Oryctolagus cuniculus: one gene and its partners. The protein of the gene in region 3 interacts with the protein of the main gene of each other region in a pairwise test. Links are inferred from orthologs where the notes say so. Each region holds a gene or a part of one and is shown on either strand. Other genes may lie near its edges.

Region 1 (4,076 bases), on a different chromosome or scaffold from region 3:
GTTCCAGCTGGCTGGCTACTCCCCTGCCCCCTCACACGACTCGGGCGACGTCACCTCCTCCAAGACGCCGTGCCTGACCATCCTGTCTGAAGCTGCCCCTCCCGCCTCCCCTGTCACCTTTCATCAGGTAGGGTGCACACTCTGGCTTCCTCCATGAGAATGTCACCCCACCAGGGCGGGGCCATGGCCTCTCTCTGCTGGATGCCCAGGTCCTGGCACGCAGCAATCCTCCAAATACGCGTCTGACAGGCTGGCGTTGTGGTGCAGCAGGCGTAGCCACCATCTGCCATGTCGCACCCCACACATGCCCTGGTTCAAGTCCCGACTGCTCTGCTTCCTAAACCAGTCCCTGCACCCACATGGCCATTTGGGGAGTGAACCAGTGGATGTAAGATCTCTTTCTTTCTGCCTTTCAAATAAAATAAAATAAATCAGAAAACCAGTGTGTCTCGCGCATCATGGGGTGGACGCTGTCTCCAGGATGCACCCCGACACCTCTGAATGCTATCTTATTTGGGAAGGGGTCACTGCGGCTGTCCTGAGCTGAGGTCACCCTGGGGCAGGTGGGCCCCTCATCCCGCATGACTGGCACCCTGGTCAGAAGGGGACACACACAGGGAACACCCAGTGGAGACGGAGCTGTGCTCCCACAGTGCCTGCCCGGAGCCTTCGCGGGGAGCACGGCCCTGCCCACCCTGGAGCCTGGGCTCCTGCTGCCGGGAGCAGGGGGGGAAGCAGTCCCGGAGGTTCTCCCCTGCTCTGCAGCCCCCGCTGACCACACAGCGAGTGAAGGGCTCAGCAAACGGAGGCGCAGGTCTCGCCCTGCAGCCCTGTGTCCACTGCTGAGGGACTGCCCAAGCCAGTCTCCGCTGACTTGTCAAAGACAGGGAGTTTGAAACAGGAAAGCCAAGCAGGGGCTCTGTCCAAGGACATGCACATCTGTCCCAAACACCCACCCCAACTCACCACCAACCACGCCAGGCCAACTCAGTCAACGCAAAACCACGTGGCCCATGGTGCCCGGCACACAGTAGGCGCCTTGTGAGCCAAAGAGACTCCTCACACATCTCCTGCTCCCCAGAGTTCCCAAGCTGCTCCCCTGTTTGGGAGGCAGGCACCCAGGTCCCCACGGAGGGGTGGCAGTATGGTGCTCTGACCCCACCTGTCCCCTAACTTGGGAGAGTCTGGCTGGGTGCGAGGCAGAGCCAGGGACCCCTCTGTGTAGCACAAAGGGCAGAAGGTGAGTCCCAGCACCCAGGCCGCTCTCAGTCCCCTGCGGTGGCCAGCGGGCAGAGGCCAGCCTCCAGGTACCACGGCATGACTAAAGCTGTCACCGCCCCAGCTCCCTCCCTCGCGGCTCAGTGATGCCAGGTCGCCTTCCAGGAGCAGCACAGCCAGGTAAGCCCTTGGGCCCCAGGCAGAAGCAGGGAAGGGGTCCTTCCGGAGGCCCCAGGGCCCCTGGCCATGCCCCAGCCCAGCTGGATTGTGAGGGACAGCCCGGCTCAGGTGCCCTGGCCGCCACCCACGCAGCACCCAGAACCTGCCTGGCCATGACCACGCACTGACCCGAGCCCCAGCCCGGCTGCATCCTGCACCACTGACCCATTTTCCTGCCCAGCCATGGGGGGGGGGGGACCAAGTCCACGGGGCCAGGCACCCGTGCACACCCACCTCACAGGAGAACCGGGGTCCTCATGGCAGCCCATTGAAGGGATGTGCAAAACGGTAAAGCTCCTGGCTCTCCAAGGGGTAGAGGTGAGACGGCTGAACCAGAGCTGTGTGGCCCCAAGCCAGGCCACCAGCTGCCACCCTCCGTGAAGGGCCTTGGGGAGCCACTCACACCCAGCCCCCTGCAGGATGCCTGTCCCCGGCGCAACACAAAGAGCACTGGTCTTGGAGTTTAAGTTCAAGTCCAAGTACCAGTCCCTTCCCTGTCTGGTCTCAGTTCCTCCACTCTCACACCAGTCCAGGATCTGGCCTGGCTCAGAGGGTACCCGGAGCCGCGCTGCTCCACCGGACTCTGGATCAGGGGTCTTTCTTGTCTGTGTTCCGGGACCCCCAACTCATGCGCCTCACTGTGCGTGGATCTGAAGTCAAAGACCTGCGGACGTCCGAGCCTGGGTGGACGTCTGGCCGCGCACAGAGACAGGCGACCTGGCCACCAGTGCAGCCTCTGGGTCCACTTATGGACTGGCTGGGGAGCCTGGGGCTGGGGAAGGTGGTCTTCCATGGCGGAGCCCTCGGGTCGGTGAGTGGGGTCGTGAGCTGCCCACTGGGACGCTTAACAAAGAGGGGGCGTCCCGCACTCCGGGGCTTCCTGGTCCCGCTCCAGTCCAGGGCACCTACCTGGTGCCTTGGGGTCGGCACCCTCGGGGCCACCTGGGGCGGACTTGAAGCGGGGGCAGCGGACCGAGCCGGTTCTTCCTGGTGGGACGTGCACGGGCGACAGATGAACACGCCCCCGGGGTTCCCCGCACTCCCGGGGACCCGAAAGCCGTGGGGACAGCGCCTGGAACGGAGTCCGCAGCCCGACCCCCGGCCCGCGAGTGCACATGCGCCCTGGCGGCGACCCCGCCCACAGTGTTCCCATCCCTCTCCCTCTTCGCGTTTCCCCCCACGACCACTGACCATAGTAACCGGAGCCGCCGGGCCAGGTTCCGCCCCAGAGAGGAGCGATCCGGTGCCGGAGGAAGCCACGGGAGGTGCTGGCCGGCTCCGCCGTTGGGTCGGGCGGCGGGGCCCTCGAGGGCGCTGGCGTGAGTGGGGAATACACCCGACCGCTCCGCAAACCAAAGGCTAGCCCTCCACTGTGTCCCAGCAAGACACACGCCCCGCGATTGACGTCGGAAGCGGGCAATCAGAAGCCGGGACACTGGACGTCACAGAAAGTGGGTGGGACTTCACGCGGTCTCAGCCTATGCTTTAGGGTCCATTTGACAGGAGACCGCCCCCTTTTAAAGACACAGAAAGCTTTTAAGTAGCTAGGGAGTTATCCCAACCCAGAAAGACAGGTCCTCCTTTGAAAAGGCTGAAGGGCTTTTGAGCCAAACTGCAAATTGAAGTCCTCTGAAAGATTAGCTGGCCCTCATTAATTCATAAACAAGGTCGCATAAGCATAGTTTGCTCAAGATGAGAGGCCAGGCACTTAGGGAACACGTGTCCAGGAACATGAAGTCACCCACCTGCTCCCGTGTGGCTTCTAAACAATATTTCACCACCGTGCACCCATCAATCAGTGGTCGCCGCGCACCAAATTAAGGTTTGCAGGCGAGCGGACCTCCGCGGCGGCTGACGCTGCGGCCGCGGGCGAGTCGGGCGGCCCACGCCGCGCCCCCGCTCCTCACCAGGGCGCAGACGCGGTCACTCACAGCTCCGCGGGCGGGGGCGGGGCTCCCTGCGCGGCCCCTCCGGGCTTCTGCTTGGGGGTTCTCAGTTTAGGGCGGTGCGGAAGAGCTCCAGCAGCCCCCGGCCCAGGCACGCGGCTGGGCTCTTGTCTTCCACGCTGGCCTCATTTCCTGGGTGTGGGGTGTGGGGGGTCCACAGAGGCCCCAGGGCCAGGCGCCGCACCGGCCAAGTTTTCCCAGCTCCAGGGCAACAGAGCACCTGCCGTAAGCCCCAACACCCAATGTGTATCCTCCGAACGTCCACCCAAGACTGTGGGGTGGGTCCTGCTGTTACGGCCCCTGCTTTACAGACGGGGAAACTGAGGCACGGGGAGATGAAGGTTCGTGCCCAGATCCACGCGGCACACACGTGAGTCACTCAGCCCCCAGGCAGTGTGAGTCAGGCGCTGTTTTTATTTTATTTATTTTTATTTGAGAGGAGCGAAGCAGTGAGGAGACAGAGCACTCTTGTCGGCTGGTTCACTCCCCAAATGCCTGCAACGGCTGGGGGCTGAAGCTAGAATTCAGTCAACGTCTCCCACGTGGACGCAGGAACCCAATGGCTTGAGCCATCAGCACTGCCTTCCAGGGTCTGCAGGAGCAGGAATCGGTTGTCAACAGCCAGGAGCCCAGGCACTCGGATCCCGGCCACCACGATAACTACTAAGCCAAGTACCCGGCCCCAGAACCTCG
Region 2 (3,562 bases), on a different chromosome or scaffold from region 3:
ACTGGGCGCACTCCAGTCCATGGCAACCCCGGCCTCCCCAGTCCCAGCGAGGGGCGATCGTTGTCTCTCTCCAGGCCAAAGTCAAGGACGTGAAAAGCAAACTCTGATGGCGTCAAGGTTGCGGTTCTGTGCTCTGGGCTTGCAGGTTCCTTTAGAGCCCACGGTAAACGCTGGGTGTGTCCGAGGTGCCCACACGCGGGGTACTGGGGGGTGAGACAGGAACTCTGGCTGCAGGTACATTCTCCAAAGACGACACTTGGTAAACAGAACAGAAAGCAGAGGCAAGGCCAGGCACCGCCCGGGTCTGAACGGCTGCAGGGGCTACTGGTAATGTCCGTTCGACCGCCTTACGGAATTCAGACCCAAGCTGAGGGAGACTCGGTGAGGACTTGCAGGCTCTGCTTTTTGCTCTCTGCCTCTGCTGGTGCGTGAGGTATCAGTACACACTTAGAAATCGAAACCACTTAAAAGGTTTTTTTTGTTTGTTTGTTTGTTTTTTTTTTTTGGACAGGCAGAGTGGACAGTGAGAGAGAGAGATAGAGAGAAAGGTCTTCCTTTTGCCGTTGGTTCACCCTCTAATGGCTGCCACGGCTGGTGCGCTGCGGCCGGCGCACCGCGCTGATCCGAAGGCAGGAGCCAGGTGCTTCTCCTGGTCTCCCATGGGGTGCAGGGCCCAAGCACTTGGGCCATCCTCCACTGCACTCCCGGGCCACAGCAGAGAGCTGGCTTAAAAGAGGGGCAACCAGGACAGAATCCGGCGCCCCGACCGGGACTAGAACCCGGTGTGCCGACGCCGCTAGATGGAGGATTAGCTTATTGAGCCACGGCACCGGCCACTTAAAGGTTTTTTTATTCCCCGTAACTGAATCATTTGGGGAGGAGGGGGAGTGTGACTTTGTTCAGAGTTGGTGTGCCATCTGTCTCTTGGCCAACCCAAATCCTATTTCACTTCCTTCCTCAGCTACCCAGGACGTGAACACTGGCCCTCAGCCGCAAAATGAGGTTTCATTTCCATCTCTGGTTGGAATCATTTGGTTGATTACAACCAAAATGTTGTAATCGATACAAAATAATGGAAAAGACGATTTTAAACAGAGAATGATATACAAAAATGGAGATGATGATTTTTAAACAGACAACAGCCCCTGGGAAGCCAGGGCCACAGCACGTTCGTATTCAGACGTTCCAGGGGCTGCTCACGCCATGAGGATTTGTCCTGGGGCTCCTGGAACCAGTGCAGTCCTTATCGGAGCTGTCTGCCCCGTGAGCATCGCCTTAGCCGGGGGCCAGGGAAGGACAGCACATGGCGCCAGGCCAGCCTCACCCCTGCCTCACCGTCTGCTCTTCCTCCCCCGCACTCTAAGCACTAAGAGACCCCGTCTCCAGCACCGGTCCTCAGGTGCCAGGCAGCCCTCCATGCTGCCGGGGGAGAGGGCACAGGGGCAGGCCGGGGCCCGGGTTACCTTCCAGAACCACTGGATGACCGGGTGGTTTGGGCAGTAGCCGTTCTTGTAGATAGAATGCTGTCTCCAGTCGTTCACGTCCACATCCCCGAGACCACACATCAGCAACTGTGGGGGACAGTGACCAGATGTGAGTGACGCAGGCAGGCTGGCTGGCTGGTTGGCAATGCACACAACCCACGGACAGCAGGCGCGCAGGTGCACCTCACTCTCCCTGCCACACATCATGGACGTAGCACAGGTACAGGGGTAACCCAACCCCAGCCCTTGTGCGAGGCCTGGACAAGGCACACTGGCACTAAAGTCCTCCTCCGTCACCTTCCTCACGTCTCTGGTTCTCTCTGCACGCCACCTGGGCTGTGTCCTCTCCTGAGTGTTTATCTGTCTTACTACTGAAAACCGCAGCCCGGTGACAGCACGCACTCGTCTCTCCCCGCCTGGCCTACGCAGGTGCTGCCGGCCACGTCCTCTATCCAGAGGCAGACGGGCCGGGGATCACTGGTTCTCTGACTTGGCATCTGGTCGGAGGTCTGCTCTTCCTGTGCAGCTCTCCAGCAGGGACAAACGGACGTGAGATGCCCACAGCGGGACTGCGGCGGAGGGCAGAGAGAACTGAACGAGGCAGACTCGGAGCCGGGTTCACAGGCCTGACCCAGACTTTGCTGGGCAGACCTGTGAAGTTACGGCCTCCTCCCTGCCTCAGTTTCCCTCCCTGTCAAACCAAGGGCCTATAGTACACAGTTTCTGTTACATCATCTATCCTGAGGTTTCTAGCACCGGAGAAAGGCTTTGCCGGCTGTGGCTTGGACAACCGGTCAGTGCTTCTCCACGGTCCAGGCTCTCCTGCTCCTGTTTCTCTCCATGCACCCAGGGGTAGAGCCGAGCGCTTTTTGGGTGCAATTTCTCATCAACACCACAAAGCTGGGACAGCCGGTCCTTAACCGGCCTTCTGCTCTCTGCTGTCCTGCCACAAACCACTCAAGTTCCGTGAGCCCTGTCCCGTAGCCCCTAGCGGATGCATCTAGCCCTGGGGGCACTGGGGAGGCAGCGCAGGAGCTGTGGCCTGGCCAGCACAGCGGGGGCACAGGGCCGGGAACCCCACACAGCCTGGAGGGCCTGTGCTACTCGGTCTGCTCTCCAGCCCCAGTGCCACAAACAGGAAATGTACCGTCTACTGCTCTTCTATTCCTTATGCCCCAATCGGCAAACACCCCCGAGGAAGCTCGGGGTCAGAAGTCACCTAAACTATTCCCTAGGACACTGGGATCCGAGGGCTTTTCAGCGTCATTTGTAAGGCGGTGATAGGTACTGGAAGCAGCCACGTGAACTGCTGATGATACAAACCTCCAGCTCATTTTCATCAAAAATTTTAATCAGGTCAATGGGAAGGAGTTCTGTGAATCCCTGGAAGAAACAAGCGAAAAACACCGTAAACACGTTTTTCCTTGAGAAACAGAACTTACAGGAAAAGCGAGTATTTACTGATGACTGACAGCAGCAAAGCAACCACAGTTCCAGTAACAGCACAGTCACAACGGAAGCTCTGAAAATTACAGACTCTAGGAAGTTTGGGTCCTGAGGAGTCGCTGGAATCCTAGGAAGACGCAGGGTACTGCAGGCAGGTGGATTCCAAAGGCCAGCTGAGATGCTGCCGAGTCACACAGGCCTGAGACACACAGGCCGCAGGTGCACGGCAGACACGGCGGAGGAACGCAGAGGAGGCTGTGCGACCCGGGGTGGCAGAGGCTGGGAGGACAGGGACCAGGCTCGGTCCCCAGGTGGTCCCCAACTAACTAACCTGGGGGTGGGCGGGGCCCAGGCACCTGCCTCCTGGGGTCTTGAACCTAAACGGAGTATGACACCTGTGACCCTGACATCTGTGCTCACACAGCACGACCCGGAAGCTTTCTGAGAACCCCCTGGGCAAGAGGTTCCTTCATCGCGGGAGAGTGCCTGAAGTGCACCCAATGGGAGCTCTGCGCAGGCAGCGGGGGCTGGGCACACGGGGGCGGGGCGTCCCCCGTGCCATCCTCCCTGATGAAGCAATCTCACTCTCGGCCAAAGCGAGAACACCCAGAAATGACAAGTCCATCGCCCCA
Region 3 (4,191 bases):
CACTTTTCTTTGCCCTGGCCAGCCAGTGCCAGACTCCCCCTCAGGTCACGTCAAGGTAGCCAGACTGCTGACTGGACAGTCGGCACATGTCTGTGGCAGCCGAGAGGAAAGGGAGCCACTCCGACACGTCGCCCGCGACCTCGGGGGTCCCGCTCGCTCTCCTCACGCCAGCCCCCTCTACGAGGGTCTCTGGCCAAAAGTTGCGCCCAGGGCGACTCTGCACCTGTGAAAGCCGGCAGCGGCTGGCGCCCCGTACGAGGCGTCCCCCTCGTGGCCCCAACAGGCCGGAGAGAGGGACAGCAGCAGGGCATGCCGCGACGCGGGCCCCGGGAGCCCACGGAAGCCCGGGAACGCACTCGCGCGAGCGCGGGCGGGGGCGGCCGCTCGGGAGGGACCTTTACCGGCGCACGCCGGTTCCAAGCCGCGCCCCAGCCGGCCGGAGCCCACTCTCCCCACCCGCGCCGGCCCAATCCAATCAGCGCCCGGCATCGCCTTAGCAACAGGCTAACAAACCTGGCCCCGCCCCTCGCCGGCCGCCCGGGGCGGGGCCTCCGCTGCCAGGCTCGTGTGAGAGCTCTCAGCTAAAGTCATTGAAACTACTCCAGGCAGAAGCTCGTCCACGCGTGGCCGGCTTCGGGGGGCGCCCGGCTGGGTGCGGGGCGTTCGGTTTTCCTCACCACGAAGTCGAGGTGCAGCTAACGACCTTGCTTTCCGCCCCAACGCATTGTTCTACTTTCCCTTCACTGCAAGGCTCAACTCTTGAGAGAAAAACCTTTTGTTTCTTCTCATTTTATAAAAGGCTCGAAATCAAACTCGCGTGTGCGCTTTGCAGCACACAGCAGAACTGTCATCAGGCGCTTTGCATTTCCTATCAGAGTTAACGCTTGGGAAGATGAACTAGAAATTACTTCAAGATGCAAAACCACCTAGGTGAACTGTGGAAACCCTGCCGAAGAACTGATTTCACCTGAGCATTTAAAAAAAAAATGCAATAATGCTGTAACTCAACGCTTCCTTTATTTCTCCCTTCCCTTAATTCAATTAGCATTTCCCTGGGATGTATATCTTGAATATAAAAACGCAGATAAAAGCGAGCCTCTTTCTGAAAAAGTCAGCATTTGCACTAAATACTGCATTAAAAAGGAGAAGCACAAAATTACATAACCAGTTTTAACATTATATTCTTCTTGGGCTAGAATTAAGTCATCGCCACCACCTGACGCGTGTAACCAATCTGCTGAGAGCTGCACAAGCGCCCCTCCTCACCACCCCCCAGAACTGGTCCGAAACAGGATTGAACCGCTTCTAACAAAGGGTGGAAACTTAGAAAAACAAGCTTAGAGTCTCCTATATTTCCACAATGTAGCCATCTAAACAATAGAGGGGAAATCTCAGGACCCCCTCTCCCTTTGACAACCCTCCATCTCCCCCTTCTAACCAAAAATCAAGTCCAGTGTGCGGTCTACTTTTCAATTCCATTGGACTGGCAGGGTTTCATTGAATGCACGTTCCAAAGTTAGACATGATGCTTGGAGAAGAAACTGCTGGCCCTGAATGGCTTCTGAACCTGACTGAACACCGGCCACGGTGATAGATACTGTCTTTTAAAATAAGGAATGCTTGATGCAAAATTCCCAAAGCATTGGAAAGAAGAGGTTAAAAAAAAAAAAAAACACGTGGGGTGTTGGTAATACCATATGTCAAAATAAGCCAGGGAAACCCTCTCTCAAAGAACAATGATCAATTCCTTATAAAGTCCTTTGCACGTTAATATTAAAAGGAAACACATCTACTAACCCTCCTAAAATGTTATTTCATTCCTTCCTTCAAGCTCAGGTTTTGAGCTAAGGTTGCAAAGAAAAAGGAAAAAATTTTAAAAATCTGATGCCGGACCGCAGCTTTCATCAATTCATTTGAAAACGTAGCAGTAAAATCATGGACTCGGAGGCAAGCAGAATTTCCGAGTGAGGTGCAAATGGACCGCAAGTGCGTATGGCACAGCCCGAGCCGGGTCCAGGGGTGGTGGAGACGAGGTGCAGTTTGCAGTCGCTTTGCAGATGCCGGCACGCATTACAGCCTCCCGTCAAGGAGAACCCAAACCTCGCAACTTTGCTAGCCTCCAGCAAACGGCCGAGCTACGCTGCGAGAACCACGTCCACCCGAGAAAGCCAGCCTGCAGACTGCCGAATGGTAGGAAAACTTACCTCTTTCGTGCCCAATTAAGATGTCTTTATGGTTGAAGTATTCTACTTCTTCGGTGTAGTTCTGCGTGTAGGCAGTATTGGAGCCGGCGTTTCTAGACTCCGTCCAGCGTACTTTCGCATGTCCTCTTGCATGAATTTTAAGCGATTTTACTCTGATTTCCCCAGTAACTTCTAAATTCACCCTTCCTGAGACAGTATCCCCGCTGGAATACACGGGGACATTGCTGTCATTCAGACAGTCGAAGCTTATTGTCAAATTCTTCACCTTCCCCAGCACCATGTTGATAACAAAAATCTATAAAAAATATAATGTAAGACCCCCAAAAAAGTCAAGATCGCATATAAAATGGGATCTTCACTCAACACTGATCGATGCTTCTGCCGTGCAAAAATGCAAACCCTTGCAGGCAGGATCAGTAGCTCCTTACAGACAGTTCATTGAGAGCTCTTAAAAGTCAGGGCAGCAGAGAGGCTGCGGCGGCGGCTCCGCGCGCCCGCCCGTCTCAGTGGTCTCCTTACAAAGACGGGCGGCCGGAGCCTGCCAGCTCACTTTAAGAGCAGCTTTGTGAAAAACAACCCCAGTGCGCACGCGCACGCCGCCGCGGCCGCCGGCCCCCCGGGCGCGCGCCCCCGCCGCGCCGCGCCGCGCCGCGCTCGCGCCCTCGCCGGGCACGCGCGCGGGTACAGTAGGCGTGGAGCCGGGGAAGCCGGCACGGGCGCTGCCGGGAGGCCCGGCCGGACTTCGCTGCATTGTGGGCTCCCATTGGCGGGCGGGCTGCCGGAAAGCCCCGGCGTGCTCCCCGGAGCCGCTGGCCGGGCGGCCTCTGACAGAGCGACCGCCGGCGGGGCGCTGAGGGACCGCGGGCCGCGTGGAGGGGCGGCCGGGCCGGCGCACGCGTTAGCGGCGCTGCGCGGATTCGCCCGCCGCCTGCCTGGGAGGAGGAGGAAGGGGGAGAAACCGGTCGGGCCAGCGGCTGGGTGGCTGAGCCTGAGCTAACGACTTTCGGGAGGAAAAAAAAAAAAAGTCCTGAAAACCGGGCCAGGAATCGTGGTCACAGACGAGAGCAGTCTCGGCGTGGATTTTATGCGCGTCCGTAGATGGCTGTAGACGGGGTGGAAGTGAGCTCCCTGGAGGCCAAAAGGGGGCCTGCGGAGCGGACGCCCTAAGGCAGCGAGGAAGAGGCGTAGGTCCCGTCCCCTCGGGGGGCTGTGCCGGCTCCGGCTACCCCGAGCGAGTCGCTGGCGACGTTGGGGGCAGGCGGCCCGCTTCCCCCGAGGAAGCCGAGGTCCTTGTTAGGGACGCCAGCCGTGGCCGGAGTCAGGGTGCAGGGTGCGCGGCTGCAGCCCTCGCGTCCACAGTGCCACCTTGCAGAAGGCAGGTGGCACGGTGGCGGCTCGGCGCACAGCCTTGGTGGGGAGTTGCTGGAGCGCGAGCGATGGTTTGAAGGAGCGAGATGCAGCGTGTGGAAAGCATAATTCTTAGCATCAGTGAGGATGCGGATTCTGCGGAGCCGCGGTTGTCCGCTGGACTGTTCAGCCTAGTCATTCCCGTGCATCCTAATAGGTACATTTGTCTTTTTTGATTGTGAGTGTTTCGGTAAGAAATAGCAGAGCCTGCGTCACGCCCCACTGGGATGCAGAGTGTAACAGCACAAACTCGTGTAGATTACTGGCCTCCGCAGAGCTGCTGTCAGGAGAGCTATAGAAAGACAGAAAAAGATGGGAATCTGAAGCCACATATACGTAACCAGGAATTCTTGGGAAGGTTTTTGGCTACGGCTGTGTCCATACGTTTTAGATTCTTCTGCGTAGTATGTTTGGGTAGATGGAGCCCGGGAGTCACAATAAATGATACTCGGCCTTGCTGTTTTGGAGGAAGTGAAATTTTACTGGGTTGGGTTTTAGTTGACAAGGCAATGTCTAAGGACTCCGGAGCAATAATCTGGAAAGGGTAAATCTGAACACGGTTTGGACGGTGAGTGATGCC

The links.
Region 1: the proteins of ARRDC3 (region 3) and OTUB2 interact in binary tests that used the Homo sapiens proteins (3 or more experiments, as listed by UniProt). The two-hybrid records come from large-scale screens. The link is inferred for Oryctolagus cuniculus from reciprocal best matches to the Homo sapiens genes ARRDC3 and OTUB2.
Region 2: the proteins of ARRDC3 (region 3) and NEDD4L interact in binary tests that used the Homo sapiens proteins (3 or more experiments, as listed by UniProt). The link is inferred for Oryctolagus cuniculus from reciprocal best matches to the Homo sapiens genes ARRDC3 and NEDD4L.

Annotation. Positions count from the first base shown.
Region 1 is NC_091451.1:38,893,968-38,898,043, reverse strand, and holds the start of OTUB2 (ubiquitin thioesterase OTUB2), read right to left. Parts: upstream 2,834-4,076; 5' UTR 2,632-2,833; coding exon 2,629-2,631; intron 1-2,628. UniProt on the Homo sapiens protein: Hydrolase that can remove conjugated ubiquitin from proteins in vitro and may therefore play an important regulatory role at the level of protein turnover by preventing degradation.
Region 2 is NC_091441.1:19,985,061-19,988,622, forward strand, and holds part of NEDD4L (E3 ubiquitin-protein ligase NEDD4-like), read right to left. Parts: intron 2,868-3,562; coding exon 2,808-2,867; intron 1,572-2,807; coding exon 1,464-1,571; intron 1-1,463. UniProt on the Homo sapiens protein: E3 ubiquitin-protein ligase that mediates the polyubiquitination of lysine and cysteine residues on target proteins and is thereby implicated in the regulation of various signaling pathways including autophagy, innate immunity or DNA repair.
Region 3 is NC_091445.1:14,128,076-14,132,266, forward strand, and holds the start of ARRDC3 (arrestin domain-containing protein 3), read right to left. Parts: upstream 2,812-4,191; 5' UTR 2,485-2,811; coding exon 2,205-2,484; intron 393-2,204; exon of another isoform or gene 312-392; coding exon of another isoform or gene 224-311; intron 1-223. UniProt on the Homo sapiens protein: Adapter protein that plays a role in regulating cell-surface expression of adrenergic receptors and probably also other G protein-coupled receptors.